Tamandua tetradactyla: one gene and its partner. Each later gene encodes a partner of the first gene's protein in a complex. Links are inferred from orthologs where the notes say so. Each region holds a gene or a part of one and is shown in the gene's direction. Other genes may lie near its edges. The genes, in order: pleckstrin homology domain-containing family M member 1 and MAP1LC3C.

Region 1 (16,531 bases):
ATTGGCATAAAGATAGATATATCGACCAATGGAATCGAATAGAGTGCTCAGATATAGACCCTCTCATCTATGGACATTTGATCTTTGATAAGGCAGTCAAGCCAACTCACCTGGGACAGAGCAGTCTCTTCAATAAATGGTGCCTAGAGAACTGGATATCCATATGCAAAAGAATGAAAGAAGACCCATCTCTCACACCCTATACAAAAGTTAACTCAAAATGGATCAAAGATCTAAACATTAGGTCTAAGACCATAAAACAGAGGAAAATGTTGGGAGATATCTTATGGATCTTACAACTGGAGGCGGTTTTATGGACCTTAAACCTAAAGCAAGAGCACTGAAGAAGGAAATAAATAAATGGGAACTCCTCAAAATTAAACACTTTTGTGCATCAAAGAACTTCATCAAGAAAGTAGAAAGACAGCCTTCACAATGGGAGACAATATTTGGAAATGATATATCAGATAAAGGTCTAGTATCCAGAATTTATAAAGAGATGGTTCATCTCAACAACAAAAAGACAGCCAACCCAATTACAAAATGGGAAAAAGACTTGAACAGACACCTATCAGAAGAGGAAATACAAATGGCCAAAAGGCACATGAAGAGATGCTCAATGTCCCTGGCCATTAGAGAAATGCAAATCAAAACCACAATGAGATATCATCTCACACCCACCAGAATGGCCATTATCAACAAAACAGAAAATGACAAGTGCTGGAGAGGATGCGGAGAAAGAGGCACACTTATCCACTGTTGGTGGGAATGTCAAATGGTGCAACCACTGTGGAAGGCAGTTTGGCGGTTCCTCAAAAAGCTGAATATAGAATTGCCATACGACCCAGCAATACCATTGCTGGGAATATACTCAAAGGACTTAAGGGCAAAGACACAAACGGACATTTGCACACCAATGTTTATAGCAGCGTTATTTACAATTGCAAAGAGATGGAAACAGCCAAAATCTCCATCAACAGAAGAGTGGCTAAACAAACTGTGGTATATACATACGATGGAATACTATGCAGCTTTAAGACAGGATAAACTTATGAAGCATGTAATAACATGGATGGACCTAGAGAACATTATGCTGAGTGAGTCTAGCCAAAAACTAAAGGACAAATACTGTATGGTCCCACTGATGTGAACAGACATTCGAGAATAAATTTGGAATATGTCCTTGATAACAGAGTCCAGCAGGAGGTAGAAACAGGGTAAGATAATGGCCAATTTGAGTTGAAGGGATACAGACGGTGTAACAGGACTAGATACAAAAACTCAAAAATGGACAGCACAATAATACCTAATTGTAAAGTAATCATGTTAAAACACTGAATGAAGCTGCATCTGAGATATAGGTGTTTGTTTTGTTTTGTTTTGTTTTGTTTTGATTTTACTATTATTACTTTTATTTTTTCTCTATATTAACATTCTATATCTTTTTCGGTTATGTTGCTAGTTCTTCTAAACCAATGCATATGTACTAAGAAATGATGATCATGCATCTATGTGATGATGTTAAGAATTACTGATTGCATATGTAGAATGGTATGATCTCTAAATGTTGGGTTAATTTCTTTTTTTCCGTTAATTAAAAAAAGAAAAAAAAAGAGAGAAGGAATAATTGGAGCTGAAGGGATACAGACTGTACAACGGGACTGGATATAAAAACTCAGAAATGGACAGCACAATACTACCCAATTGTAATGCAATTATGTTAAAACACTGAATGAAGCTGCATGTGAGGTATAGGTTTTTTGTTTTTGTTTTTTTTTCTTTCTATTGTTTTAATTCTTATTCTGTTGTCTTTTTATTTCTTTTTCTAAATCGATGCAAATGTACTAAGAAATGATGAATATGCAATTATGTGATGTTATTAAGAATTACTGATTGTACATGTAGATTGGAATGATTTCTAATTGTTTTGTTAATTCTTTTTTTAATTAATAATAAAAAAAAAAAAGATTCCTAGAAACCTCCCCTCCAAACCTGCATGTCCATCCCACCAGAATCTCAGACAGAGAGGCCCATTTAAACAAGCCTTTTTAGCTCACTGAAGTTTGATAATTCTTGAAGTATGGCGAGGGCAGGGAGGTGGAGGAAGCAGAGGTTCTTTGGTTTTTTAGGGCTGAAAGAGAGGAAGGACCAAGCATGGTGAGGATGAGACGACTAAGGTCTGATGAAGGCTGCTTAACCCAACTTAGTGACCGCTGGCCTGCTGCCCATCCCCACAGGGGTCAGGGTCTCTTCCTGGGAAGTACCAGTCTCCACCAGTACTGGCTACAGAGGCCCTGATAGGAGTGAGATGCTGTGGTTAAGACCTGGAGGGCGGGGGTGGAGTGGGGTAGGGGAACCATACAGGTTCCAGAAGAGGAAAATCCCTGAAGCCAGAGGTGGGAAGAGTGGTTCGAGTTGAGGGTTTTTATGTCAGAGGGTAATGCTGGAAAGAGTTTGGCGCCACACTGTGGAGTGTTTTGGCTTGCAGAACAGAAGGAGATTAAGATTTAAACCTGTGATCAATATAAAGGATCTCTGGCTCTCTAACACATGAGCAACCAAACTAACCCTGGACTTCCTAACCAGATCGTTACATGAGGGATCAATATACTTTTCTCTTATTTAAGCCTCTGTTCTTTTGGGTCACTATTGCAATAGCTGAACCTATAACCTAATAAAGGAGTGGGTACATGCATTGGCTAGCTATTGCCACAGTAATGCTGTGTAACAAACCATTCCCAGATTTAGTGGCTTAAAATAATTCTCACGAGTCTCTAGGTTGACTGGTGCGGCCATGCTTTAATGCTGTGCTGTCTGGGTTGGCTCCTCATCTTGGGATGGATCCACAGTCCAGCTGGGGCAGCTCTATTCCACCTTCTGGGCCCCAGACTGAAAAGACAGCAACTCCCCAGGAGCAGCTCTTCTCACGATGAAGGCAGAAGCATAAAATTAATAATAGAAACTTGTAAGGCCTCTTAAAGTTTAGGCTCAGAACTGACACATTTTTGTTTCCGACCCATTCCGTGGACCAAGGCAATTCACATGGCAAAGGCCAAAGCCAGTGGATTGGAAAGAACACTTTACCACAATGAGACTGTGGCAAGAGTGGAGATGCAGGGAAGGATGGAAAATTGGGGACAATAATTCTACCTATGCCAGCATGTGACTGCCCTGGTTTGGAGTCCCATTCTTCCAGTGGTTACCTATAAATGAAGCACAGCGAAATGTTAAGTCCATCCACGTGAAGACTCAAGCACAGTTCTGTTAGGTCATCAAGAATCACATCTCTGGGTGGGCCACGATGGCTCAGCAGGCAAGAATGGTCGCCTGCCATGCCGGAGGACCCGGGTTCGATTCCCGGTGCCTGCCCATGTAAAAAAAAAAAGAATCACATTTCCTTCCTCTCCACACAGCCCCTGACTCCCCACAATGCCTAGTAACAGGCCCTGCCCTTAGTGATGACTCAGGGAAAATTACTGAGTGCACTGTAGGTCGTTCTTCCTTCTCCCCATGTGATTCCTTACGAAATACAGGCAACTCCCTAAGGTCAGTGCAGAGTGCTATTTCTCCATCCCATGAGTAGGGATCTGCACCCAGATCTCTCTGACACCCAATCCTGCACCCACTGCCTCCACTATGGACCTCCAGAAGGAAGAGCTTATGCAGAGTTAAAGCACCAAAACAGATTAGTGACATTTCTTTCTCAAGAGGCCATTTGGAACCAGAAAGATTCCCATCACCTGAGATACCCTAAGAGGAAGGCGGTCGAGAGGCAAGACTTAGTCAGGGACCCACAGGAACCTAAAGAAATTTTTAAGAATAGTGAGATTCATCATCAGATCCCCCACTGCTCCACGAAGCCCCTGGGCCCCTGTCATCAGGGCAAAAGCAAAATCAACCCCAGATGTTCTGCCTTAATATCTGCCTTTCCCAGGAGATTTTGCCCTTTAAAGGAGAACCAGTTAAAGAGAGCCACAATTAACTTTAAAGAATGTCACCACTGAATTCCAGGCACAGAGCCACGTGGGTGGAAAGGGTATTTTAGGGCACTGATTCATGATAAATAGTTTCCCCCATTCCCTGTAAGTGACTACTCAAAGTTAAGCTAACTCAGACTCAAGTTGATAAAAACAGAGGGGTTGAGAAACTCAAGTTGATGTGAAGCGTCTTGATTGTGATAGAGGTAGACTATTTGAGAGCTTGCTGTTAAAAGTAATGGCTAAGGGGGTGAGCCACAGTGGCTCAGCAGGCAGAGTTCTTGCCTGCCATGCCAGAGATCCAGGTTTGATTTCCGGAGCCTGCCCATGCCAAAAAAAAAAAAAAGAAAAGTAATGGCTAAGGGATTGCCTTAGTGGACTTCAAGAGGATAGTATGCAGCAGTTTTTTTTAGGGGACAAAATAGAACAATCTATCTCCAAGAAAGGTATTAAATGAACAAAGGAAGATGTACTATGGTATGTGCTATCCATTATATGTATAGAATTATTTGGTCCAATACAGTAGCCACTCACCACATGTGGCTATTTAAACTTAATACCAATGAAATAAAAATGTAAAGTAAGCTCCTAAATCACACTAGCCACATTTCAGGTGCTCAATTGCTACCTGTAACTAATGGTCATCATATTGGACAGTGCAGATTTCCATCGTCACAGAAAGTTCAACTGGACAATTCTGCTATAGAAGACCTCTGAAAAGACACACAAGAAACTGGTAATGGTGGAGGCCTTCAGGGAGAGGGACTGTGGGGCTGCAGCAATGTAAACACTTTGTACCTTTTGAATTTTATACCATGTGTTTGCATTAAGTACTCAAAAAATGAATCAGAACCTAGGCATTCTTATACAGGGTTACTGTATACCAGGCAATGTTCCCAAGGAGATCTCTTTGCAATTAAAACAAATTAAGAGACATCATGATTTCATATTTGATTTTTTCCTCCACAGCTTAAACTTTTAGTTTCTGCTGCCATTTTTCTGCTTATTATGAGCTCACAGGTAGCAAACTGGATTAATAAAAGAAAAACTCAACCAGCTGTCATGCACAGGTTGACAGCTTTTTTTTTCCCCTGAGAAATGTGTGCAGGTGGTTTTGATTTTATTTTGCATGAAAAAAGCTTCAGCCATAATTCCTGCTGGCAAGATTGTTCCTAGTTCTATAAGGGAAATAAGTGTTCTGTAAAATGTGTCATAACTCTGGGCACCCTGCCTCCTGGGCCAGTTTGAGAATTCCTGTAGTAGAGTTTGCGGTTCCTACCTGGCAACATCCTGAATCCAGGCCAGTTGAGGCAGGAAAACCAAAAGGGGGCAGGATAGCACAAGTTGCTCTACTTAAAAGGCAACTTGTGGGGCAGTGATGTCCAAACGGTGACCACAGTTTCCTTAGAGGGCCGGTTCCTGCAGGCACCTGTGCACCAGGCACTGTTCGCAGAGCAAATAGTATTCTTTCACTAATATCTACCATGTATAGAGGGCATATGCATCTCATTTCACTTAAATCTTATATTAAATACATTCATAAGTTACCTGTGAGGTAGATTTTATTCTCTGCAATTAACAGATGAGGAAACTTAGGCTGGGAGGTGGGGAGGGGGCTAGATAACTTGTCCAAGTTCACAAGGATGATAGATCAGCGAGGGCCCTTTCTGTTCCAAGTGAGAGGAATTCAACAAAGCATTGCATAAATAAACCAAGAAAATGGCATGCGGTATATCAGTTCATATAACCAGGAAGCCTAAGGGTTCCAGGCTGGGCTGTATTCTGGACTCAAATGACATCATCCTCTTCCATCTTTTTTATCTGGGTTGGTGTTTTCCAGGGCCATCAGTAATCAGGAATGTCAGTCTCATGCTGTTGCAGAGCAAAGCTCTCAGACAAAAGCAGGCCTTCCAAAGGACTCTAATTGGCCTGCTTGGGCCACGGGATAACCCTGGGATGGGGGCCTTAAATCAGTAACCCAATCTCAGCAGAATCCCAGGGAGTGGAGGAGGCTCATCCCAAAAGTAAAGAGAAGGTTCTGTGACCAGAAGTGGGCAAGGGATGGAGGATCCAAGATTGAAGTTAGATTGAGCTAATCCTTCAGTTTTTCACATATAAATAGATACTATTGTGAAAAGTAAAGCACAAATTCATTTGAAAGCCAGTAGTGTGTTCATGGTGATTTTTGGTTCTTATGTATCTTTTTCAATTAAGGGATACTAAAAATACAACTACAATCATGACGGAGTTCACAACTCCCCCCACCCTCACCTTTTTTTTTTAATATTAGAAAGGGAGTCAATTAAGGATGTGTTCTAGCAAAGGGGATAAACCAAGAAAAAAGAGAAGGGAGTCGGGAGATAAAGGCCCCAATCCAGGAAGCACTGAGGGGAAATCTCAGCCGTGTGACTGACCTGGGAGGTCCCAAAGTGAGCCAGGGACAAAAGGGGCAAGGAACTGCTGTGGACCATTAAGTTTCATTAATGGTCCTGGGCTCCACACTGCTTTAGGGAAGGCCCAGCAAACAGTTGGGATACAGCAGAGTGGCATTCAAACCTTAACAGCCCTTGCTCAGTCCCTAGACTCTGTTGCCTCTTGAACTAGAATAAAAAGACCTGGGTTAGAATCCTGTTTCTATGGCTCATTTGTGGTGTGGCCTTAGGTCACCAAGTTCCTTAACTTCTCTTAAGCCTGTTTCCTCATCTGTAAAACGGGGATAATAACAGGTGTTTGCTGTTTGCACCTATCTGGCAAAGAGTAGGGGCTTCCATTTTCCATAAATAGGTTGAAAGACATCTCCTAGGCCTGGAAGACAGATTTGAAGACTGAAAACAGAAAGGAGCTTCAGAACAGCAGGATTCCTCACATTTAATTATGCTTCAGATCCACAGTGGTAAGGGGAGGGGATGGGTGAGATGTGGTGAAGCCCAAATTCTTGAACCCCACTCTAGAGTGACTCCTTAGGTCCAGGGTGGGGCACAGGAATCTGCATTTAGGATTTATTTCCAGGGAAGTCTGACTCCTGGGTTTCTAATTCTGGATGGACTTTAAATCTAAACTGATGGGCCAGTGGGATGTGAGGAGCCCTTCCAGCACTGGCCTCCAACTTGGCCTGTATATCCTCCCTTTCTCCCTTGTCCAGTGTTTTCTCTATCTCCCCTTTATTCTGACTCCCTCTCCTTAATTGCTTTCCTTCTCTGACTTCTTAGTCTTCTCTTCACCTCTTGGTGCACTTTCCCTGTCCCTTCACCTGCAGTACCTTTCCCCCTACTCACCTGGGAAGGCTTGGTTCAAAAGTGGCCTCCTCCAGGCTCTCCTGTCTGGCCCCATAGCAGCCCCCGCCCCAGGATGCATTGCTTTAGTCAGCTTCCCAAAGTGGTAAGTGGTCCCAAAAGGGGTATAACAAGACAAGAAGAGAAGCAAAGCTAGCAGATTTTGTGGAGAGGTGGGGAGGTAAGAGAAGACCAGGAGAGGGGGCTCTTAAAAAGGCAGAGGAGAGATTTCTCCCCGGTTCCCACAGCTCCTGCAGAGAGCAGGTGTGGGGAAAATTCCATGGAACAACTGCAGGATAGTATGTGCTCGAGTGGGGAGGGAGGGGTATGCTTGTACCAAGCCCCCAGTGCTCTCATCAGGTCCCCCAGTGAACAACTTCAGGGATTCCCTAGACTCCAAAGTGACAGTAATGGCCAGAAACGCTATCTCTTTGCCAATTAACTAGACTTTCTCAGTATATCCCTTCCTACCTTGCTTAAAATGAGTTTAACTTGTCTCTGTCCTCATCTGTAATCTTCCTGCTCCAAGATTGACCATAAAGTCTCCTGAACACACTCTGATCTGTCCAACTTAAAACCTAGGACAGATAATCGTCACTTCTGGAAGAGAATTACTAAAGCTGCTGCTGGGACCCTGACCTTCCCAGGAGAGGCCAATGGAGCACAAGACTCCCCGCCGAGGTCAGCAGAGCTTGCTTCCAAAAACTGAGCTGTTCCCCGGCCACCCCTGTACATACTTAGGACCTGCATGTAGCGGCACCTCCCACCGTCCCGACCCACGCGACACTCGGGCCCTCTTAGACGCATGTGAAGGGTGCCTAAAAGCATGGCACCTGCTGACACCTCTTGCCCTGAATTAGAAACGTCACGGTTTACGATAAGAAAACAAATTACTCGGCTAGATGACAACAAGTGGTCCCTTGAGCTTTACATGCCGCGCAGGATGATGGGTTCCCCGTCGCCCGGGGGGACCTCGAGGCGCTCTCCCGGTATAAAGTGTGGTCAAACATGGATGTTTTTCCTGCAAGCCGCCAGGCGCGAGGCCCCAGCCTGGGCCCCGGCTCCGCCCGCCGGGCTGCACTGATGCCCTCGGGGAGGCACAATAGAGCAGGCTCTACCAATCTCCTTTTACAGGTGGGCAGCCTCCGGCTGAGGGAGGTGAAGAGTTGGCTCTAAAGTTAGGCTGAAGCCGGGAGCGGTCAGGAGCTCGTCTGAGGCAGACCCTGCGGGAGGCGGGCGGGGCGGACGCGTTCTGCCCCGCGGTGGGATCCCAGCCTCTGCACGCTACACCCCGCCGCCGGCTCGCAGGCCTCCCAGACCCAGGCTGCGTCGGGGCCTTGGCTCCCGGGCTAACCCCACCCCGCGGCTCCTTCGGGCCTCGCGATTGGCTGCACGTGCCGAGGGCGGGGCCGGAGCGCAAAGTGAACGTGATGGCGTCAGGCGCCGCCGGCCCTGTTTCCTGTTGTCAGTGGCCAAGAGGTCGTAGCTTCCGGTCGGAGGCAAAGGGGCTGCCGCGGCCGGCAGTGTTCCCTGCCCTCTTGCCCGCTCCCTTTGGTGAGTCAGGGGTCAGGCGGCGAGGAGGACAGCGGAGGGGCGGCGGGGCTGAGACGTGGACGCGCGATGGGCAGCCCTTTCCGTGATCCTAAACCCCTGGCTGCCTTGAAACGGTCCGGCTTCGAAACACCCCAACCCTTCCCGGCCCAAACTTCACGTCCTTCCCTAAACCCACTCCCACCCCAGCCTTCGACCCTGTCACTGCTGGGTCGTCCCTTCCACCTTCTCCCATGACCTGACTCCAGCCCTTACCCCTACCGCCTCACCTCTCCTCATGCGTAAATGCAGCTTCACCCCTGATCCCACTTAGTCCAGTCGCAACCCCAATCTCAACCACATCCTTTTACCTCCCCATAGCACGAATCATCCTCTACCCTCAACCCCCATGACAATCCTAATGCTCCGCTGAAACTTCCCCGAACCCACCATTCTGGTTTCCCGTTTTTTGGCTCAACCTTTTTAGCCCAGTCTCCCACCCCACCCCCAGGTCTGCTCATCTCAAACACCTCCCTCGGTCCCACTCTCATTTAAGACCTCCCACCAAAGTAGGTGTCCTGTTTAGTTTACCCCTTTCTTCTTTGATAAGTCTTGATCCCAGCCTTACCTTTGGTCTTACATGTATCTTCTCACAAACTCAGCCCATAACTTCCTAGCCCACTACATATGTACTCCATTCTGTAACTCCAATCATCTTTCCACTCCCTGCCATCTTGTGGACACCCCATCCTTAAATCTTTGCTTAACTGTGCCTACTTCTTGCTGCCCAGTTCCTACCAACCTTCACCCAGTCTTCTCAAGTATAAGATCTCTGTGTCCTTTCACCTCTGCTGCCTCACCCCAACTCTTCATACTCATTCTTCTTTTGACCCCAGTTCCCATTCATCCTGAACACTTGGTGCAGAGCACCCTGCCAACCCCACCAGTTGCTTCTCACCCTCCAAATCTGGGTGCTTGCTTGAGAGCCAGGCGGTTAACCACTGAGCAGCTTAATTGGGTGTGTGCAAAGTCTCTGATGGTAAATAAGTGTTGAGAAATACTGGGGTACTTCTCTCTCTCCCTCTCTCTCTCTTTCTTTCTCGGGTCAGGGCTTTCCCTGGGTATCTGATCCCCTGTACCTGTCCTCAGGAATTGTGTTTCTAGCATTCATATTAAATTACTTGTCCTGGCTGCTGGAATGGTAGGGCATCATCCAAATACTTAGGAGGTGAGGGATGGTCACTCATCCAGTTCATCCAGCTGAGGTCATTTGGAGCCCTCACTTCATCTTGGCTTGTGTTCTGACCCTGGAGAACATCAGGGAGTGTCACTGTGTGGGGTTGGCCATGATGACAGAACCATGTCCATGTACCTTGTCCTCGCATTTGTAAGGGACCCTCCCTCAAAGCTCCTTCCTACGAGGGCTGATTGCCAGATCTGTCCCAACACTGAACACAGGGTAGGTGATGGGTGCCAGAGATGATGTTACATGTTGCGAAGGATATTAGGGAAGCTGAGGCCTAGGTGTGTACAGAGCACCTGTACACACAGGTGCTGTCATTGAATTTTGGCAGTTTGAGGTTACCCATGAATGCCTGGAGCCAAGTTATCTTATAGTAACTGAGGCAGAGGGTTATTCTTGAGACACCCAGGCCCCGTTTTCAGAATTTACAGTCTCCTAGTGCTTCTTGGTGCACATTCCCTCTGCATTCTGGTCACCCAGCTTGAGAAGGGTTGGTCCTCCTCATGTAGCAAGCTGAAAGGCCCCCAGAGGAACACATTGCCTTTGCTTGCCATTCCACCATTATTGTCTCATTCTTTTGAGAAGGGGATGCTGTTCTACCTTCAGTAGCCCTCTGTTATAGTGAATGATTTTCATCCTGATAAGAGCTTAGTTTAAAGGAAAGAGCTCCATAATCACCCCATCACTTATGAGTTGTATGCCTTAACTTCCCACAGTCTATGAAATGGAGACAATGATACCTGTCCTGTGCCTTATTTTTATTTTATTCAATAGTTCACTCAGCAAGTATTTTTTTAGCACAACAGTGTGCCAGACACCATTCGAGGCACTGGAAATGCGATGATGACCGTATCAGGCAAAGTTCCTATTTACATTCATTCAGAATTTGGTCCCAGCTAGAATCCTATGGTAAATGGGACAGGAATATCAGGGGCGATGGGTGTTATTGGATGGAAGAAAGGAGGAAGGAAAGAAAGATACTGAGTGTTCACCAACTTCACAGTTCTGCCCTTGCCCGTTAGCCCTTGACTGGTATCTAACCCTCTTATTTCAAACCAATTAAATAACTGGTATTTAATTGCTTCAAAGGCTTCCTCTCCCCCACCTCTCACAAGACACTTGTCCAGAAATCCAGTTTTCTTCAGGTGGAAGGAAGCAGCTGTTTACTCATTCAGCACTCACATGTCTGAAAGATCATCTTTTCCAACTGAAAAATATGACTCATCAACTGGTACAGGAGCTGAGTGGCTTAAATTGCAGTCTGTTCTAAACAGGTACACAGTGTGATTCTGCCAGTAGAGGGAAGGCTGTTGGGAATGGCTAAGGAGTCTCTAAAGAGAAGATGTTGCTGTTTACTCATGGGCTGAATGTTTTGAAAACCCATTTGAAAGCGGTGAAGCTAGCTATCCATTTCTTCTTTTAATGTAAGTCTCATCTAAGCTATTCTATTTTTTTTTCTTCCCTGGTTTCTAGAGGAAAAGAAATTGAACATGTACAGAAGGCCAGGCAGTCCAGTGAAAAACAACCAGGATAATTCCTTCCTAACTATATGTTGTGGCATTTAAGAAATGCCAGCTCTGAAACTTGGGTCTAGTAGAAAGGACCTGGGCTATAGATCTGATTGGCAAGTTGGTTTTAGGCCTTTTAGATCACAGATAAAATGAGGCTTTTGAGTACCTCTTAAAACCTTCTTAAGTATTAAGTTTGCCTATAACTCCTTGAGCCAAAACCTGAGACAATTTGATCAGGTTGAAAGGCATAGAGTTGGAATGAGGGAACTGGAGAACTCTGGAGAACTCTATCCCTTACTTAAGGCCTGTTTCTGCTAAGCCTCATTTTTCTCAACTGTAAAACAGGAATAAGCATCCTTCTCCCACAGGATTGTTGTAAGAATTAAATGAGGTTAGAGTATGTGGTTAGAAATGCTTGTTTTATTCACCCTGGAGAGCTCTGTAAGGGAGAATCAATACTTTAAGGGCAGACGCAGCCCCGTATCACATAATGTGGTGTCTTTCTAAAGGGCAGAACTTACCTTTTCCCGTGGTAGACTTTCTGAGAGGCATTTGGTATCACTTCCCAAGTTCTCCCCTTATTCCCTTCAGCATAGGTTTCCTTGAAGCCACACCTCTTTGGTTTGAATCTTGGTGTCAGAGAAGAAAGTTTTGAGGACTGAATATGAATCCATTTCCATACAATGGTAGATTTAGGGCCTGGGCCACTCAGGTGGATGATGGGGTGCTGACCAGCAGGTAGAGGCCCATAGCCCTCTCTGATTCTACAGTGATTTCTTGGGTCTAGACTGTCAAATTCCTGCCTTTGAGTTGGTGTCTGCCTCCTGGAGGCATTATGTAACAGACGTGGCTAGGTAAAGCACTTTGGCTTCCTACAAGGAAAAAGATGTCCTGAATTGTGGCCTGAATCCCAAGGTCTTGGTCCTGTTTTCCAGATTGTCAAGTGGCTGCTCTCCTGGATTCCTCTGAACTGTTGTCATTTTGTAGCTTTTTTGACACTTTGTTTAGGAGTCAGTAACTTGTCTGGCCCTCCTCTAATCTCTCTTATCTTCAGTGTACTTTGGTTTGGCAAATGATTTCTTGGCAAGATCACCCCCTTACTCATACCCCCCTCTCCATAAATACTTAATTATTCTCAACTAATTAGACCTTAATGGAGCCAGGCTGTTAATTTAGATTGTTGAGATCCGTGACCTGGGGGCCTGGCCTGGCTGGCTAGGGAGGGGCAGTTTAGAGCTTGAGGGCTCTGTCTGGAAGGGCTGAAGTTGCTGAGTGTTGGAGCCCAGAGAACCTTGACTCTGCTGGGCAATCTCCCTGGGCTACATTTGGGTAGCCTTGAAGGAACCTAAGCTCCAGGATCAGACACATTTCCAGGGGTGACTCTGTGCTGGTTGACCACAGCACACCTTTCCTTGTCTTCTCGGTCCCTGAGTATGAGCTGGTTCCCAGGGGAAGGCCCTAAGATTCCCCAGGTAGATGGGAGCAAAGAATATGGTGAAGAGCGAGGCAGTCAGACAGGGGCTGCATCCATGGCAAATGCTTTTCCTGGCAAACTGTCACGTCCTGGCCAGAGCTGGTCTGCAGAGGCGCTCCTCTACACATACCTGCCTCCCTCTGTTTGTCTGACTTAGGAGTCCTGTTTACCTTCTACCAACTCCAGACACCAGGGATTGAATCAGAGCATCGTCAAGTTCTAGGACCACCCTGCTTCTGTCCTTTCCAGACCTCACACTCCCTGCTCTCTTATAAATCTTTCTTGCCAGACTGGCCTCGATGTGCCCGTGCACCTGGGCCCCCAGCTGAAGTGCACCCCTTCCTGCCTACCCAAGCCTAGCTCATACTCACCTCTTCCAGAAAGTTTTCCCTGTTCACTTAGGTGATTGTACCCATTCAGGTGTCTGAAGTCTTTTCCCTTGAGCTGGAGTAGGCACTCTAGGAGTGGGTGGTAGAGGCAGGCCACTTAGTAGCTATGGAATCTTGGGAAGTTCCTTGACTCCCTCAGCTTCCATTTCCTTATCACCCCTAATGTGGTTAATGAGGAAGGAGTAAGGCAATATGCGTAAAGGATACAGAACCCATTTAACCTTCCTTGGTTTTGTTAACCTCTGTTGGGCCATGATTTTTTGACGTCAGAACAGCAAATAATCTTTTTTGGGGGGAGGGGGGTGAGGATGTGAGGGGGAGGTATTCCCTGATGCTCAGCACTATGTTCACTGGAGATTTGTTGAGATGTGAATGGGCTTGTCCAATCCCAATCAGACAGACACAACTGTTCAAGTTATTGGGGGTTATATAGGCCAACTAACAGCCCTCTCAGTCTCAGTCAGGTGGAGGCTCTACCAAATATTCAGTTCCCCAGGGAGGAAGCCAGCTGCCCTGAGGCTGCACTGGTGGGGATGGCTTTACCCTTAGACCTGGGGATCTGGCTCCCCCATATCCCAACTGAGGGCCCTCCCTTTACTTCCTTTTCAGAACAATGCTTGTACCTCCAAGAGAAGGTGAGGGCTTCAACAATAGAAAAGAAAAGCATTTTCCCACTTAAAAAAAACAAACAGATTTAACTGAGTATTGCTTGTATATTTGGTATGTGGGTGGCAATATCCACTGGGATCAAAGATAGCATTTACTGAGTGCCTGGTCCATTTCAGGACCTGTGCAGGGTACTTCACATATGTTCATGTCTCTTTCTGACAGTCTGATACAATGTCTAAGCATGCCCAGCTAATTAGAGGTGAAATGGAGATTAGAACCTTTGTTGGTCTCTTTAGATGCATCCTCCTGTGCTCTGCAAGGCAGACCCTTATAGCCTCAAGGAGAAGCAGAAGTGTAGCAAAGCAGCAGTCTTTCCCCTTTTGAAGCTAATTCATTTGTTCTTTTCACTGCTGACCTGCAGACCAGGACTAGGGTAAGAGGGCCTAATACAGAACCAGGACCTGAATGTGAATTCTCAGCCCCGGCTTCCTGGTACCTATGGATCTTTCAGCTGCAGCATCTCTGTATCTAAATCAGCCATTCCTTCCACTCCCACACCCTGATCCCACAGGTTCCTGGCTTTCTGTACTGGCATTTGGAGTAAAGGGCCCTTACCGCCCACTCCTTGGGGCTGATCCACCCCGGGATCATAGGACTCCTCACCTCCTGAGGTCTGAGCCTTCTGATTTTTTTTTTTTTTTTTCCTTTTTTACTTCCTTCTTTATAACCCGCTTTCCAGGTTTTACTTTTGGATTCCGAAGAGCTTTGGTTGCAGTTTGAGTGAGATCAGCTGACATCCTACTGCCTACTGGAGGAACTGGGTAGAGTTAAGTTGAGAACTTGCTCATCTGGCCTCCATCTGTCTCACAGGTGACGTGTGATTCCACGGGAGTTGCGGCACAAGTGGAAATGCTGTCAGTGGTGGAGAATGGACTGGACCCCCAGGCTGCCATCCAGGTAGGTGGACAAGGGAAGATTAAGGGTGGAGAAGGGGTGTAGAGAGACAACTGTTTTATCAGTTTTTTCTAACTTTGAAATGAATGGGCACTATCCAAAAAGAGAGGGCTTAGGTTGAGGAAAATGTTACAGTAGAAGTAGGTCTGAGGAGAGCCTATCCTTTCTCAGTCGTCCTTTTGGTGATTAAAAACAAATGACAATTTACAAAAAAACAGTGGGGATTTAAGATAAGTTAGCCAGAGATCAGGAGTTTCCATTTAAACTTTCAGCCCTTGGCCTTTAGGCCATGATTTGGTCACACAGTTTGGCCAATACGGTAAGTTGGGTTGAGACAGCTTCCCAAGCACTGGTTTGTTACGTTTTCATAATTTTAAAAGTAAGTTGGCATCTTACATATATCTGAACCAGTCAACTGGAGCCCACTCAGCCTCCGCTGATTGCTGTGTGCATCCTAACTGGGCCCCGGGGCTCTCTTGGGCAGTCTGTGGGCTAAGCTGTCAGTTCCCTTAGAGTCAGGAGGTCAGGGCAAGTTTGGGGCTGAGCCCCTGGCAGAATCCTGAGATGGCTTTGGGGGGAGAAGGCAGGTTTTTTCTTTCCTCCCCAGTGTTGTTCCCCTATTCAGAGAACTTTCTGCTTGAAAGGAACTGCAGATGTCAGAGATGTGCTTTCCCCTCTTTTGACCAATGGAGAGTCCAGCTCCATACATTTAACCAGCTGGCTTTCAGGCAGAGGCCCTTTTCTTTGTGTTGCCTTTCCCATCCACCCAAGAGCTCTCCAGGAACATGGCCCTTGGCCTGCAAAGCCTGCTAACAAGGGGTAGCATGAACTAACTCCATGAGGGTATGAGATCCTCAAATGTATGTCTTATTAATCCCTCTATACCCTACACAATATTTAGTGGGTAGGTATTGGTGAGACTGTAGAGAAACTGGAACCCTCATACATTGCTGGTAGAAATGTAAAAATTGAACATGAAGTTACCGTATGATCCAGCAACTCTGCTTCTAGATATATACCCCAAAAAGTGGAAAATATGTCCACACAAAAACTTGTACATAAGTGTTCATGGCACAATTATTCATAATAGCCAAAAAGTGGAAATAACCCAAATGTCTATCAACTGAATGGGTAAACAAAATGTGATATATCCATTTAATAGAATATTATTCAGGCATGAAAAGGAATGAGGGTGGGCAATGGTGGCTCAGTGGCAGAGTTGTAACCTGCCATGCTGGAGACCTGGATTAGTTTCCCGGTGCCTGCCCATGTAAAAAAAAAAAAAAGTGGAATGAAATTCTGAGACATGCTACAAGGTGGATGAACCTTGCAAACATTTTGCTAATTGAAAGAGGCCAGACATAAAAGGGTAGATATTGGATGCCTCCATTTATATGAAATCCATAGGAACAGACTGAAGGTTAGTGGTTATCAGGGGAAGAAGGGAGGAGGGAATAGGAAGTGACTGTTAGTATATAAGGGGTTCCTTTTTGGAGTGATGAAAATGTTCTAAACTTTGTAGTGGTGGTTGCACAATTCTGTGAATATACCAAAAGCCACAGAATTGTACAC
Region 2 (16,512 bases), on another chromosome or scaffold:
ACAGTAAGACACCCTATTTTTTTCTCAATGTTCAAATGAGTACCTTAGAATAAATGAAACACAGTAGATACTACAAATCTCAATCCTCATACACAAAATCAGGCAACAACCTTCCTCCCCAGTCAAAGACGAAGTTTTGGACAATTGTCTCTCGACAATTGACACCAGATGGGCTCTGATCTTAAAAGACATGAAGCGCAACTGAGGGAAAGGTAAGACTGCTTAAAAAAAGGAAGAAGTGACACTCTATAACAAACAGTATGAGTCCCAGTCCCATTTCAGTCCCATTCTTCTCTTTCTGGAATTCCAGTTACATGTGTTGGACAGTTTGAGTTCGTCCCGCAGTTCTCGGATGCTGTTATGTTTACCCCTGTTCCTTTTTTCTGTTTTACAGTTTGGGTAATTTCTATTAACTCATCTTCAAGTTTGCTGATTCTTTCCTTGACTGTCTTAAGTCTAGTGATGAGATCATGAGCCATTCTTCATCTCTCTGTTTTTTATGTCTAGCATTTTCATTTGACTCTTCCGGTTTCTCTATACTGACGTTTCCCATCCACTAAATCTCTCCCTAAACACATTGGTGTTTAACACTTGCTGATCGTTGTTTCAGGGAGGCAGAAGAAGTTGAAAGAACTCCAGATAGGAATCAGAAGACTTGTCTGAAATTCTGAGTGACCTCAGGTGAACCACTGAACTGTTCACGCCTTTGTTTTTCACAGTTAAACATGAGGGGTTGAAATTTCTGAAATTGCAACATCAAAATTCTGAGAATCAAACACACAGTAATCTTTTTGATTGATGGGTAACCATTTAAAGACTATTTCAAAAGTTCCACAAGAGGGCAGCTCCTCCACATCACTTAATTTTGGGAGGGAGGAAATAAAATCCAAGCACCTTTGAGTCTATAAAAATGCTTTCTTATACAATATTTTTATTTCTTTTAATTGTACAAGTAGAACACAATATATTCTCACTTAAATATTCCAGCATTACAGATGAATTTCAAAACACTTGTTAGTACCCTAATCCTAGTACCCTTCCATATTATCAATTTGATGAATATGTCTTTTCTATGCCGCTTTTTCTGTGACTTTTTAAAAACATGAGTTCTGCACTAATTTTTATAATCGCATAATTTTGCAATCTTCCTGTCAATATACATTAAAAAGCTTTAACCACTACCTTTAGTTCTATATAACGCATGTCATAATTAACTCTTAACTGATGACATTTAAATTATTTTCTATTGTCAGTGCTTCATTGACTATTTCAGTACAGTATTTTGAAAAAAGTGTTTAAAGCCAGACTTTTTTTCATAGCGATTCAGATTTTAAAGCTAATTTATTAACCCAAAATAGTAATGTTTTAGTAATTTCACTAGTCACAAAAATATATACGGTCAGGACACAGAAAAGAGATTAGAAGTGGGGAAGGTTGGCAGCCTTTCTTGGAAGTGTTAAGGTTTATTCCATTTTGTGATATTTATCATTCTAGGATTCCCCTCACTGTTAAAGGCATTTACCAAGCATGGTCTTAACTTAGATTGGATCAGACTTAGAGACAAATGGCCCAGTTACTGCAGAGAAGATGGAAACAAGGAATGATCACACGCTGCCTCCCCAGAGAGAGTAGGTTAACCTGTCAGCCACAGGAGGGAGCTGTTTTGGAAGCAGCCCCAGCCAACATCTTAACTAAAAGCTCATTAAAGACTCCGAGCCAGAACCAGCTAAGCTGCTCCTGAATTGCTTGCCACACAACCCATGAAATAATGTTTGTTGTTGTTTTAAGCTGCTGAGTTTAGGAATGATTTGTTATGCAAGAATAGATAGGTAATGCAACTAATATCTACGTTGTGAGCCTCTCTGGGTGAGGTCAGATGGCTGGGAAATCAGGTTGGGTAAATTCCCAAGGTCCCAGAACATCAGGTCACAGTGGCTGATCTGTGCCATATCCTCCTCCCAGCCTCAAATATTCTAAAAATGCCATTTTCTAAGGGCCCACAGGGCCAAGGGCCAGGTGTTTTCAGGAGCACATTCTAATTAATGTAATAGATGCTGAAAAGCAAGAACTTTCTCAGTGTTTTAGGAAAATGGGCTTGGAACTCCCTTTGCAACTAATTCCACCAAAGCTTGCTACCTTCTCTAACCAGTTTACCAATGTTTTTCAGGTCCGCATTAGGTTTACTTTTTTCCCTTCCTACCTTCCTGTGTCTAAGGGATTAGTACAAGCCCATGAACAGCCTCAATGTCAGAACATGCTTTTTAATCCCCATGGATAAGATACAAACACTGCCAAAGTTGACTCATAACAGGAGAGCTGGGGCTTATGACAGCTGACGGTGGGAGTTCTGAGGCAGGCACTTAAATCCTTTAACTTGGCAACCCAAAGGAGCTGGGGGTGGCGCGCTCACCTTCACTCTGGGATGCTATGGTTTTATTTCTAAAAAAGTCATTCTGTGATGACATTTGGGAAGTGGGCAATTAGGCTTCAGGTTTGGAGGGATTAGAGGGAACGATTTCCACTTTGAAATGAACTCTGAAGATCCAAACAGTGGGTGCGACAGAGGATCTGGTCATTTAAGAATTGTTGAGGTAAAGAGACTGCTAGAGAAATCTCAGAAAATATTCTCCCTAAGATTACAAGGTTCCCCCCGCAATTTATTAATTTAAAAGTCAAGAATGGAACACATTAAGTTATAATGGAATAAACATAGCTTTTGGTGTTGTATAGACATGAGTTCAAATCACACCAGCTGTGGGATCCAGAGCATGTTATTTTGCATCTCCAAGCTCAGAAGGAATAATTCGGAAAATATGTATAGTATTTAACATGGTGTCAAGCACACTTAATAATTCCTCCCTTTTTTCCAATGAAGGATAATAATAATGGCAATGTTAATAAGTTAAGTCTTTTGTCCAGTTCAACCTTAGACTTTCATGGCAGCTTGAAAACCAACAACCTTGTCTTGTCCAAAGGCTCTAGGGAACCTCTTTGAACCTCAAGTTCTTCACCAACAAAATGGTAGAAATAATAACTTACACTTATAGGGTGGTATGTGCCCCACGCACTGTTGTAAATTTTTTTTTACATATATTAACAAACCCACTGGATGCAGCAGCCCACTAAGGTAGTTTTTTGTTTTGTTTCATTTCGTTTTTTCATTCTACACATGAGGTAACTGGTAGAGAGAAGAGTGTATCAATGGGCCAAAGTTCACTTAGCTAGTAGGTGATAGAACCAGAGTTCAAACCTGAACAGTCTAATTCTAGTGCCTACACTTTGTGCGTGTGCTTGAGGGGTGGATTTTAAATGTGAAACCAATAAAGACTGTAGGAGTTGCCTGGGAAATTATCTTTGCTTCCTTATTTCACACCTCCCCCAAACTATTCCTATGTTTAAGGTACATCAGTGGCAGGAGAGTGGAAGTTAGCTGTCACTCTAAGCACTTTTAAGTCGGAGGCAATTAAGAGCAAGCATGCCTTTGCCGCCCATTTTCACATCTGACATGCTGGAAACAAAGGACTTTGAAATAAACAGAATAGCGCATCTGAAACAGCACGTATGCCTGAATTTCTTTTGGAGTAGAACCAAACAAGAGAATCTTCCTGTTTGCATTGGGCCATTATGAGGATGAGAATAAAGCTTTATGTTTAGCAACTGAGTTTGGGGTATATTTCTCGCATTAGCATAGCTTCGTCCATCCTAACTAATAGTTATTAAATGGCAGTGATCATTATTTTTCTCAAATAAAAGACATAAAACCTTGGAAGGAAAATTTCATGATGTAGATATGAAAAATGTAGGATTCACTCTTCTTGAGCAATCACAATGACATTAGGAGAACTCAGAGCTTTTTAAAGGATTAAATGATAAACTGGGTGAGTATGAATAGGAAAGAGTTAAGAGGTCCAAAAAGGGAAAAGAAAGGGACCCCCAAGCCATGCATCTTTACGGAAGACTTGCCCGGGCCCTTCCTGGGTTCCAGCACCCAGACAAGCTGACTGCGTGGTGTAGAGCTGTATAATCGACTCAGCTCTGGGAGGGGCATGGAATTCTTTGCAGAAGAAAAGGAAATGTCCTCATATAGACTATGGTGGTGAGGGCATGGCCCTGTGATTATACCAGGAACCACTGATTTTTTATTTCGGTTGGATTGTACGATATGTGAATAAAACTGTTTAAAAATGAACAGAGAGAAACAAGTGCTGGAGAACATGTGGAGAAAGAGATGGATCTATTCACTGTCTGTAGGGATCTGAGAGGTGCAGCCCCCTGGAGGGGAGTGTGGTGATTCCACAGGAGACTAGGGGTGTCATTGCCATAGGATGCTGAAACCCCATTGCTCAGTATATACCTGGAGGAACTGAGTGTGCGGACAGGAATGGACATTTGCACACTGGTGTTTATGGCGGCAGTGTTCCTGTTCATGACTCGCAATGAATGGAGCTGGCCTAAGAGTACAATGACTGAGGAATGGAAGGGGAAACTATGTTGTATAATACAATGACAACAGACTACTGAGAGCTGCAAGAAGGAATGAAGGTGTGAGGCATGCAACTAGGTGAATGACCCTTAAGGACAGTATGTTGAATGAAATGTCAGAAACGAAAAGATAAATATTATTATACCTCACTCATATGAACTAACTATAATATACAAACTCAGAGAAATGAAATCAAGAGCATAGGGCATCAGGTTAAGACCTATTATAAAGGTTCCTAAATTGTAAGTTCTTATAGCAGTCACATCTATTCCAGAGTTGTAACTGTTATTTCTGAATTCTAAGATGCTGAACTCTCTGTATATAACCTGGTCATTACCTGGAACTTTGGGTATTTGTGTGACAACTGAGTCTCAGAGAGCCCTGAAGCTATGAAAGTCAGCATTATCCCACACAGAAACTGTTGAAAAAGTGATCAGACTTCAACTAGAAATATGAGTGAAGCTGACCTGGATAGGACTAAGGTACATCAGAGTGCAGGGTAAAGGATGATATGGTTTATATATTAAAACCTCAACTTCTGTGTGAGACAAAAGAAAGAGAAGGAAGAGGTTTATATTTTCTGTCACACAGTATCTAATTTAACTTGTGCATTCAAACACCACAATTACATGGAATCTTGAATAGGGCATGAGAGCTTGTTGGTTTGTAAAGAACAGTGCGATCTACCAATACATCCCAGAGTAATTTGGCAGAGAATAAAAAAGTATTTGCAAAGCCCCCTTGGGGAGCTGGGGAGAAAGGAGGAAATATTAAACTTCTCCACCTGGGGAATTCCTGATATCCTTGCAAGCATTGAGGACTACCAATTTAATAGGCTGAGCCTTCGATCTTGGGCTTTGACCCTATAAAAATTATTTCTCCAAAGGAGAGCTTAAGCTAATTATAACTATGTCTAACAGTCCCCCAGAGACCTCTTTTGTTACTCAGATATGGCCTTTCTCTCTAAGCCAACTCCGCAGATGAACTCACTGCCCTCCCCACTATGTGCGACATGACTCCCAGGGGTGTAAATCTCCCTGGCAATGTGGGACATGAGTCCTGGGGATGAGGCAGGACCTGTCATCATGGAATTGAGAAAGCCTTCTGGACCAAAGGGGGAAGAGAGATATGAAACAAAATAAAGTTTCAGTGGCTGAGAGATTTCAGAGTCAAGAGGTTATCCTGGAGGTTATTTTTATACATTATATAGATATCCCTTTTTAGTGTATGGTGTATTGGAGTGGCTAGAGGGAAGTACCTGAAAGTGTGAACTGTGTTCCAGTAGCCTTAATTCTTGAAGAAGATTGTATAATGATATAACTCTTACAATGTGACTGTGTGATTTTGAAAACATTATAGCTAACACTCCCTTTATCAAGGGTATGGACAGATGAGTAAAATAATATAGATAAGAAATAAATAATCAATATGGGGGATGAAAGGTCAAATAAATTGGTAGATGGAAATACTAACGATCAATGAGAGAGCGGGGTTAGGAGTATGATATGTCTGAGTTTTTTTCTTTTTTCTCTTTATTTTTCTGGAGTGTTGCAAATTATCTAAAAATGATCATGGTGATAAATACACAACCATGTGATGATATTGTGACCCCTGATGGTATACTTTGGATGGATGTTGTGATGGGTGAAGATTTCTCAATAAAAATATTTTGAGTAAATACAATAAAACAACTCAACTTACTTCCCCAACTCACTCCACAGGGCCTAGACAGAGTCAAGGAAGGACACGACTATGCTGAAATGGCCTTAGAATCTGGAGGCCTGCTAAGAAACCCTTCTGACTGCTGAGACCAAGTTCTCTCTCCTCATTGTCTCACTCAAGGCCTCAGGGTGGGCTTGGCAACCATTACTCCGGCTTTGTTGGCAGAAGGAAAGGCAAAACTTAAAAAATAGAGACTTAAATAGTTGTGTAAACAACAGTAATAGCCTACTTCTTTTTTGTTCTGTCACTCAGCCAGTCTGGAGAATGTTTGATCATTTCCTTCTGTATCATCATCAGTCTGAAGACTCTTTCAGTGTCAGATGACTCGGTCTGGAATGGTCCCAGCGAAGGCCAATGACTTCTCAGGAGCACAACCAACAATGGAGGAGATGCAAATGGTTCAGTCTATTCTCCATTCAGGATGGGGCTGGGCCTGGAAATACGAAGGGACCACTGTGCTCTTGGATGTGAAGTGAGTGGGTGATCAGCTTCGATAGCAATATCATTTTCCAGAAGGGGAAGCTGGGTCCCTAAAACCATAATTTCCATTTAAAAGAATGATCTCATGGAAAGCATCCTGGACGGCAAGCAGAACTGTCTTTAACTATCTGTTTAATCCCAGGTAAATAAGTTCATTTTTGTGGCTCGTGGTTGCATCTATTTTTTAAAGGCGAGATCTTAATATGATAACTGTCCTGCTCACATTCTTGGAACTGCAGAAATATGACAAAATATGTTGGGCAATTGCAGAGGGGAATATTACTTTGACACACATTAGATCTCAACCCTAATTTCACATCTTCTTATTTGTGCGACCTTGGGCAGATCACTCAACATTTATGAGTATCTATTTTTTACTGTGAAAAACAGCAGCACATTTCAGGGTAAGGTGGAAGAATCTTAGATTACCTTCATTGCTTTAGTGTTAAATGTCCACACTTGCCATGGAAACAGCCTAACCAAAAGGTCCTACCCACAATAGTTCTGTCCCCACAAGAATGGATTAAAGGAACGTAGGTTTTTGGGCGGCACATAACAGATTCAAACCAGCACACTCCACCCTTTGGAACCCCAAAAGAAGTATTCTTTCCATATGCAAAGTACATTCTTTGCATCACAGTATCACAAAGGCTTAACTCACTAAAAAGTTTAATAAAAAAATAATAACAACAATAATAAATGTCCTTACTTAAGGCTATTTCTATCCAGGACCAATGCACTACGTTGTAAACCTTGATTTCCTTAGTAAAGACAAATTCTTAATTAGTTATGAGCAAAGTGACTTTCTCTGACTAACAAGCATGCAAATTCCATTTCCATCCTCAGAACCTACCTCCCTCCTGCCTGGATAGGGGGTGGGAAAAGGGGAGGGAAGGAGAAGTCTGATATCACACAGCCCTATGTAAGGGCTTCCTCAGGTTCCTGCAGGCAGTTTGGAAGCAGCTAGAGGAATGAGTTAGGTCCTGGTCCTGGGCTTTTCTTTTCTTTCTTTCTTTTCTTTTTTTAATCAGACAGACACAGCTGTAAAAATGCAGCCTCCACAGAAAAGCCCAAGCCCCAGACCTTTCAAGCAGAGGAAGAGCTTAGGTAAAGTTCTGGGGGTGTCTTTTTAGATTCCAAATCTTAAGAAAGGGAAAATTTTTAAAATGCAGACTTCTCTTACATGCTTATATATTCCTTTGCACTTACAATTTTCACAGCAACCAGAAGAGAGGAAGTTGCTGGAATCCGGGCAAAGTTCCCAAGCAAGATTCCGGTAAGACTCGTGTTTTCCTGGGGGTGGGAGTGGGGTGGTAGGGGGGCCTGTGATTCTGTTCTTTGTAAAAACAAAAACCACTCAACAACCTCCTTCTCTCTGTTCCAAGTTCCTAAGAACACTGAGTCACAGTCTTAGGCACTTGTTTCAGGAAAGATTCATGCTGAGACATTTGACAGGTGGTAGTGGAGCGCTATCCCAGGGAGAAGTTCCTGCCCCTCCTGGACAAAACCAAGTTCCTGGTCCCACAGGAGCTGACCGTGACTCAGTTCCTCAGCGTCCTTCGGTAGGTGATGAATCCTGCGGGAGGTGGCAGCTGTGGATGTCTCTGGGCTTTGGGGAGAGTGGGGGTCTGGCAGAGGGAGACAGGAAAGAGTTCTGCTTCACCTTTTCCTTTAATTATACTTTTAAAAAGGGTGAGCTTGGGTGAACGGGTGGTTCACTGGTAGAATGCTCACCTTACATGCAGGAGATCTGGGATCGATTCACAAACCATGCACCGTGCCCACCCCCTGCAAAACAAGGCGAGCTCATGCATCCCCTATTTTAAACAGAAAAGAAATACCTTGCTAATAACCCTCAGTGAGAGGTCCCAGTGTTGACGTAAGAGCTGTTTTCTCTTTTATTTCAACTTTTACTGAGACCCTATTTTAATTGCTACCTTCAAATGTCTCTAATGACTTTTCAAAGGAGACTTGTTTCTGAAACTAGTTGAAGAAACCCTCCGTTGTCAGGTATTTTGGGGGCCCAGCAGTCAGCATTTTGCCCTCATTAGTTCTCTTTCTTTGCTCCCCTGATGGCAGTGAGGGGTTGGGTTTTGTGCATCTGCTAGGATCACCGAGCACAGGAAGCAAGTACCTTCTGCTCCTGCACGGCTTTCTCCCTCTCAGGAGAAGGAAGGGCAAAGCAAAGGAAATGTTGCTGATTTTAAACATAAAACTTATGGGATTTCAGTTGGTGCCTGTCAGCTAGACTCAATAAATACGATTTGGAACTAAAGCCCGTTGACTGGTGGGGGGGAGGGGGGCGGCCGTCAGCATGGCTGGTGTGTGTGTGTCTCCCTGAGGCGGAAATAACCTCTCGGAGGTTTTAGCTGATGCAGGCATTTTCTCCAGAGCACTTACTATGATTTTTTTATGAGCTCTTTTAGAACGCCCAGAGTTTTCCTCAGATCTGCTAAGGGTTGTTTAGGTGAATCTGGTGGAAACTGAAGGCAGCTATGGGAGAACCAAAATCAGGATTAGATCGTTGGGCACCATTCCCCCCTTTCCTCCATGTAGGGCCACCTACAGTCTTCACGCACTCCCCATTCTCCATCCCAGAGATTTCAAATTTCTACTTTAATTCCTTCAAAAATAGTTGACACGCAGCACGCACTATATATCAGGCTATTTATATTCTATGCTCTGGGTATGGGACAGTGAACAAAACAGACAAAATTCCTGCCCTAAACATCTTCTAAGCCACAGAGTTCTCCCTCTTGGGGACCTCTCGACGTTAAAAGGATAACCTAATAGGAGATGGAAGGAAAAGAAGGTCAAATTTCTTGACAAGAAGGGTATCCTTTGAGAACCAACTGCCGACCTCCTCTTCAGCTCTGTCCTTTCTACAGAACAGATGTTTGGTCATCCCAGGAGGACAATGCAATTGTCAGGACTCAGTCTCTGGGTCTGCCAGCATCAAGTAACTGGCCTGGCACCTTTCAGCTGGGCCCAGGAGGGCACCGGCCATGGCTCTTAAACAACGTAGGGTGAGGCGGGTTGGCTGTTGAGGAGGATGGGTGGAAAAAGAGACATTTAGCCATCACCAATAGATGTAACTTGCCATGATGCCAAAACAATGATTCAGAGCTCTTAGCATGCCCAACCAAATGTGGCTGCTCCTTTGTCACCTTAATCCAAGGGAGAAGTTGTTCTAAATGCCCCCCGCCCCTGCCCCGAAGCTGTTTAAGTGATAGGTTATGTGGCATTACTGGAGAATTCTTCACTTTAGATTCATAGCAAACAGAGGCCTACTTACTTAGCTTTTTTTTTTTTTTTTTCCTTTTGCATGGGCAGGCACCGGGAATCGAACCCGGGTCTCCAGCATGGCAGGTGAGAACTCTGCCTGCTGAGCCACCATGGCCTGCCCTTGCTTAGCATTTTTAACCTGTATGTATTTTTTCTAGTAAATGAAGACATGGCCTTGCACTTCGGGCCCAACTGAGAGTCCCAGGGCATTTGAAATCTTCCGGGAAGTATAGTGAATCTTTTGGCCAATTTCTAATAACTATTTTGTTGCCCCAGTAATACTACAGAGAAGGCCATTTAGGCAGGTCCTTTAATTTTTTCTACACTTTGGTTTTTTTATCTATAAAGTAGGGAATCAAATGAGACAAGGGCTGAGGTTTTGTTAAAAAAGTTAAGTGGTGGGGGGTGCAAAGGTGGATCAGTGGTAGAATTCTCGCCTGCCATGGGGAGACCTGGGTTCAATTCCTGGACCAGGCACTTCCCAAGCAAACAAAGAAACAAACAAAAAATTTAACAAATGGTGCTGCAATAACGGGATACTCACATGGAAAAAGAACGAACTGTGGCCCCACCATACTGAGTACAAAAAAAAGAAAGTTAAGTGGTGGACAGATATAAACTACCGTTTCAGCAAGGATGGTGCAGGCAGGCATATAGGTAGAAATGGCAGTTTGAGAGACTTCAGGCAGCGGTGGGGCAGCAGGGGTGCTGCCTGTGTCTCTTGAGCAATGGTTCTCAACGTGAGGTGCACTTACTTCACAATCACACAGATGCCTAGGCTGCTTCCCAGATCAATTCAATTTAAATCTGTGGGGGTGGAGGGGGTGGGGGAGGTGGGGGGGGTACTGGATCCCAGGAATCTGCATTTTCAACAGGTCTCTCCTGGATGATTCTAAAGTGTGAGGACCACAGCCCTAGATTGGGGAAGGGAGGGCATCTGGGTAGAAGCTTACATTGGACAAAAACTGAGCTACACCTTCAGATCAGAGGCCCATTCCCTGCCAGATTAACTTCTTTCCTTTCTGCCATCTCCCCACCCCACACCTGTGCCCTCCCCTACCCACCTGCTCCCACCAACCCAGGAGCCGCCTGGTCCTAAGGGCCACTGAAGCCTTTTACGTGCTGGTGAACAATAGGAGCCTGGTCAGTACGAGTGTGACCATGGCCGAGATCTACAGGGACCACAAGGACAAGGACGGCTTCGTGTACATGACCTACGCCTCCCAGGAGATGTTCGGTGGCTTGGGGTGGACAGCCATCAGGGACCGGCGCCTCTTGGGAACAGGGCTGCCAGCCTCTCAGGCTCCGGTCAAGAAGAAGTTGTCTTCTAACTGATGCAGATGGGACTGGCTGTTCCTGTGCGTGCGGTGGAAGGGTCGAGGAAAACGAGTATGACCTGGAGAGACAGCCCCATCAAACGACACTGAAGCCACCGGTCGTTTCTGGCTTGGTTTCTCTTTTCATGAGCCCTGTCACTGGAAGAAGCTCCCATTGCTCATGGAAATTTTGTAAATGGTGATTCTTTTTGTCTGAATAAGCAATGGTGGATTTGTGTGATGATGTTGCATGATGCGCTGGAGTTATCTTTAAAACGTCTTCGGTGGTGGAGGTAGGGCAGAGCCTTGGGGAATCCGAGTTCACTGTCTCCTGGAGGTGTCACTTCTGTGGGTCAGTGTACAGAGAATGCCTGCTCGGTGGTCTCTCTGGAAGCCGGTGCAGACAGTGCAACCACATTAAAGCTTATCCGGGTGTGGTCTTATCTGTGTCATTAAAGAGACTCTTGTTACATTTCCATAGTACTCACTCAGTTATTTCCTATTATATTCTTTTTTGTCTATGCCAGCATTATGACTTCTTGATTTTAAATAATTTAAATTAATAGTCTTTTTTTAAGATAAGAATCTTTAAAATAGTAGTCAGCATTTAAGTTCTTTTTATAGACCAGGCTTTATTCAAATACTCTACATGTGTTTATTCCTCATGACTCTTCTATATGTTAAGTACTATAATCCCCATTTTAAAATGAGAAAATTAGGTCAATGAAAGGTCAAGAAACTCACCCAAGGTCCCAACTAGATTTTGAAATCAAGCCCCAAACCCCTTTGCTAGTCTTCCTTTCTAACGCAGAAGTTTCTTCACTTGGTGGGAACCGAATATGCTTGAATTGAAACTGAGTTACTAGCTTAACAATTCGCAATGGGAAACAAAGAGTGTTCTAGTTTGCTAGCTGCCAGAATTCAATACACCAGAAACAGAACGGCTTTTAAAAGGAATTTATTAAGTTGCAAGTCCACATTTCTAAGACTGTGAAAATGTCCCAACTAAAGCAAGGCTATAGAAATGTTCAATCTAAGGCATCCAGGGAAAGATACCTTGGCTCAAGAAGGCCAATGACGTTCAGGGTCTTTCTCTCAACTGGAAAGGCACATGGCGAGCATGGTGGTGTCTGCTAGCTTTCTCTCTAGGCTTCTTGGTTCATGAAGCTCCCCTGGGACGTGTTCCTTCTGCATCTCCGAAGGTCTCTGGCTGCGCAGGGTCTGTAGCTCTTTCCAAAATGGTTGTCTCTTAAAGGGCTCCAGGAAGCAAATCCCGCTTTGAATGGGTGGAGACACACCTCCATGGAAATCATCTAATCAAAAGTTACCACCCACAATTAGATGGGTCACCTCTCCATGGATAATTTTAAAACTCCCACCCAGCAATACTGAATGAAGATTAAAGGATTTTCTGGGGTGCACAAATTCAAACCAGTACAGAGAGGGAGACACATAACTGCAGTAAAGCTTGGACATGTAAATCTAGTTTTGTGCAAAGGACATGATTTCACTGATAGGAAATAATTAGAATAAGCAAATTCATAGAGTCAGAGACTAGAATATAGGCTACCAGGGGCCAAGGTAGGGAGAGGGGATGGAGAGTTAATGCTTGATTGGTACAGAGTTTCTGTTTGGGGTGATGGAAACATTTTGGTAATGGATGGTAATGATGGTGGCACAATATTGTGAACACAACTCTGCACTGAATTATATGTTTGAATGTGGTTCAAGGGAGACTTTAGGTTGAATATATGTTATTGGAATTAAAAAAAAGCACATGGGACTTTACAACACAAACAGTAAACCCTAATGTAAACTACGAACCATAATTAACGGTACAATTATAATAATATTCTTTTATCAGTTGTAACAAGGAACCACACTAATGCAAGCTGTTAATGCCGAGGTATATGGGAACTCTGTATTTTCTGCATGATTTTTCTATAAACCTACAACTCCTCTAGTAAAAAATGTTATATTTTAAGAATTATATTAAAAATAGAACTAGTTCTATGCCAAGAAGAGGAGAGCCCAAAGAAGGCAGAGTACCACTGTGTTCGGAGGGTTCACTCAGGAAAGACACACAGAGGAGTGCAGTTTGAGTTGGGTTTGGAGAAGGAAAAGAGTTTTCATGAGAAGAAATTCTTTTTTGTTGTTTTTGTTTTCACTTACAGCCAGTAAAGATTTATTACACATCTGTTGTGTGCCAGGCAAGAGCTACAGCAGTAAACAAGACAGAGAAGGGCCCAGTCTCATGGAACTGGCTCCAGTGAGGAAAGAATGAAAATACAGAGACTAGTAATAATGTAAAGAAACAATAAAACAGAGTTGGGAGCAGAGACAGTGAAGAAGACTCTACCTCGATGGTCAGGGAAGGCTTCTTGGAGGAGGTGGCTTTTGATCTGAGTCCATACCATGAGAAGAAGTCAGTTCTTTGTGATCTGGAGGAAGAGCCTGCAAATTGTGTAAGAAAGTGAACTATGTTTTTCAGTTTCCAATATTTTTATTGACGCTATTTCCTTCCATGCTTTTGGCTTTTCTGATTGGAGCAGGATATTTTCAATGGGCATAAATTAAAGTTTTAGCAAATATTTATTGTCATCTTCTTTCTTTCATTCTTTCTTCCAGACCCTGGGTCCCTATTGATATGGACTGGCCCCCTAGCTCAGAGAACAATTGTCCCTGATGATTCCTCCCCTTTTACATCCATTTTCCTTTTACTTTGATCATTTCTTCACCGTCTCCATGAAAATAACCTGGGCCAATTTCTGCTGAACAATGGAAAGATTACATTATCTTAAATTATTACACACTAAAAATGACAAAGATAAAAAGTATTGATCGAAAACAAACAAACAAACAATACGAAAGTATTGATCTGCCACTGGAGTGGAGGCGGGAATGACTAGAAGAGACAGGTGAAAACTTAGGGACAGAAGTGGGAAGATTCAGGAGAGGATGCCCAGGGAATACCCTGACATAGGGTGGTACAACAACGGTGGCTCAGTGACAGAATTCTCACCTGCCATGCCGGAAACCCAAGTGACATAAACTTAGTGACATAAAACAGGATTTATTCTTTCTCACGATATTCTGGCTTGGCGACGAGGTTCCTCAGCTGCTTTCACCTGGGCTCACGCAGGCAGCTATGTTGAGCTGGCAGGTGAAAGAGGCCCTGAATTCTGGCTGTTGGCCTGTGTCTTGGGACCACCCTCATTGCCACTCATCTTCCAACAGGCTAAACCAGCTCCTGAGATACAGTGATTTTAGGGTCATGTTCCAGGGAAGGCAATGGGGAAAATACAAGTCTAACTGTATTCTCCCAGGCTCTGGGTCTTGCCCAGTGTCATTTTGTTGCATTCTTTGGTCAAGCCCAGATTGAAGGGATGGGAAAATTGAAGCTTCTCCTTTCAAGAGGTATGTCTAAGGAGTCGTGGTCATATTTAATCTACACATACTCCTAATAAACAACCTAGCTTCTTCTCCATCAGCTGCATCTGACCCATTTTTTGTGATTTATTTCCACCAATAAATGAGTAATTTCTCACTGTCCACCCTTCCTTCCATGCCTTCCCCTAGTCCTCTGTCCCTCTGGCCAGGGTGGTGGGTATGGCTGATTCCAGGGGGATACCCTGCAATCTTTTGCCCTTTCTGTGGTCACTTAGTTAGCAGGAATCATTGTGCTCTCCCCTAGGAGGTTCACAGAGGTTTGGTCCTCGCTCAACTTCCTCAGATACCAAAGCTCATTAGGTTTCCACTTTAGAGGAAGTGTCTGCCCAGTATAGGTGCTTGGCTAGGAGTGACTGCTGGACATGAAAGTATTTCTAGCAGGGGGATCACCTATGGTGAAGGCGGCTGGTGTAGGTGTGAGGAAGTGTGCCAAAGCACTGCTATTGACTTGGAAATATTATGTGGTGCAAAATAAGCTGGGAACAAGGCAACATATATTGTATGGGTCTCTTTTAGAAAATACACATAAGAAACTTGGGGCCTAGATTGTAAGGTCTTATAGCAGTCACATTTAGTCCAGAGCTGTGGATGTTATTTCTAGATTTTGAGATGTTGTGCTATATATGTATAACCTGGTATCTCCCTGAAACTTTGGGTACCTGTGTGACAGCCAAGACTCAGAGCTGGAGTTCTGCAGCTCTGAAAGTCAGCATTGCTCCGTACAGCAACTGTTAAAGAAACTGAAAAAGAGATCAGGCTTCAATGAGAGATAAGAACAAAACCAATTGGGTCGGGACCAAGGTAAATCAGAATACAGCAGTAAGGATGACATTGCCTGTATTTTAAACTTTGCTTACTCTATGAGACCAAAGGAAGGGAGCTTGATTTTGCCCAAAACCTACATTTTCTGTAGCACATAACTTATTATGTTCCTACAGCAGATAAGTCCTGAAACCCAGTTTCTCTAAGACCATCAACTAGTTCCATCCCCCTATTCCATATTATTGACAATCCCTACCAAAAGGAAATGTTAGAAGGGATAGAGCCCAAATACCCCTAAAGACTGGGAGAAGCAGGTGTTATAACAGAGAAGAGAGGATTCAACAAATGAGCATGACTGCAGAATCATTTTATTGATATGTCTTTTAGTTTCCAGTGTCTTGGAGCAGCTAGAAGGAAAAACCTAAAATTGTGAAATAGTAACTCATACCAAACTTTGAAATCTGTTCTGTAATTACCTGTTACAATGTACTTTGAATATTTACTTTCTTGTATATATTTTATAACATTTTATTATAATTCATATAATACTATATACTTTGAAATTTATTGCCTTTTTGTATTGTGCCAGTTTGAATCTGTGGTGTAACCCAGAAAATCTGCATTCTTTAAATCTCATTCAATATTGCTGAGTGGGAGCTCTTTGGTTATCCATGGAGATGAGACCCACTCAATTGTGGGTGGTAAATTTTTTTTTTATAATTTTTTATTAATTAAAAAAAATTACAAGAAAGAAACGCAAACATCCTTAATATATGCTCATTCCATTCTACATATTTAATCAGTAATTCACAATATCATCACATAGTTGCATATTCATCATCATGATCATTTCTTAGAACATTTGCATCAATTCAGAAAAAGAAATAAAAAGCAACAGAAAAATAAAACAAAAACAGAAAAAAAAAAAAAGAATTTTACATACCATGCCCCTTACCCTTCCCTTTCATTGATGACTAGCATTTCAAACTGAATTTATTTTAATATTTGTTCCTT

Evidence for each region.
Region 2: the proteins of pleckstrin homology domain-containing family M member 1 (region 1) and MAP1LC3C are in contact, whole or in part, in a crystal structure (PDB 5DPW), measured with the Homo sapiens proteins. The link is inferred for Tamandua tetradactyla from reciprocal best matches to the Homo sapiens genes PLEKHM1 and MAP1LC3C. Residues at the interface, in NP_055613.1 of Homo sapiens: Glu632, Asp633, Glu634, Trp635, Val636, Asn637, Val638, Gln639, Tyr640; in NP_001004343.1 of Homo sapiens: Phe13, Arg16, Lys17, Glu25, Ile29, Phe33, Lys36, Pro38, Asp54, Lys55, Thr56, Lys57, Phe58, Leu59, Val60, Pro61, Glu63, Leu64, Ile72, Arg76, Phe114.

What each region holds. Positions count from the first base shown.
Region 1 is NC_135332.1:18,426,167-18,442,697, reverse strand, and holds the start of pleckstrin homology domain-containing family M member 1, read left to right. Parts: upstream 1-8,690; 5' UTR 8,691-8,803; intron 8,804-9,456; exon of another isoform or gene 9,457-11,446; intron 11,447-14,875; 5' UTR 14,876-14,914; coding exon 14,915-14,962; intron 14,963-16,531. UniProt on the Homo sapiens protein: Acts as a multivalent adapter protein that regulates Rab7-dependent and HOPS complex-dependent fusion events in the endolysosomal system and couples autophagic and the endocytic trafficking pathways.
Region 2 is NC_135333.1:13,052,357-13,068,868, forward strand, and holds MAP1LC3C (microtubule-associated protein 1 light chain 3 gamma), read left to right. Parts: upstream 1-7,642; 5' UTR 7,643-7,734; coding exon 7,735-7,792; intron 7,793-7,905; coding exon 7,906-7,961; intron 7,962-8,140; coding exon 8,141-8,247; intron 8,248-11,052; coding exon 11,053-11,305; 3' UTR 11,306-11,897; downstream 11,898-16,512.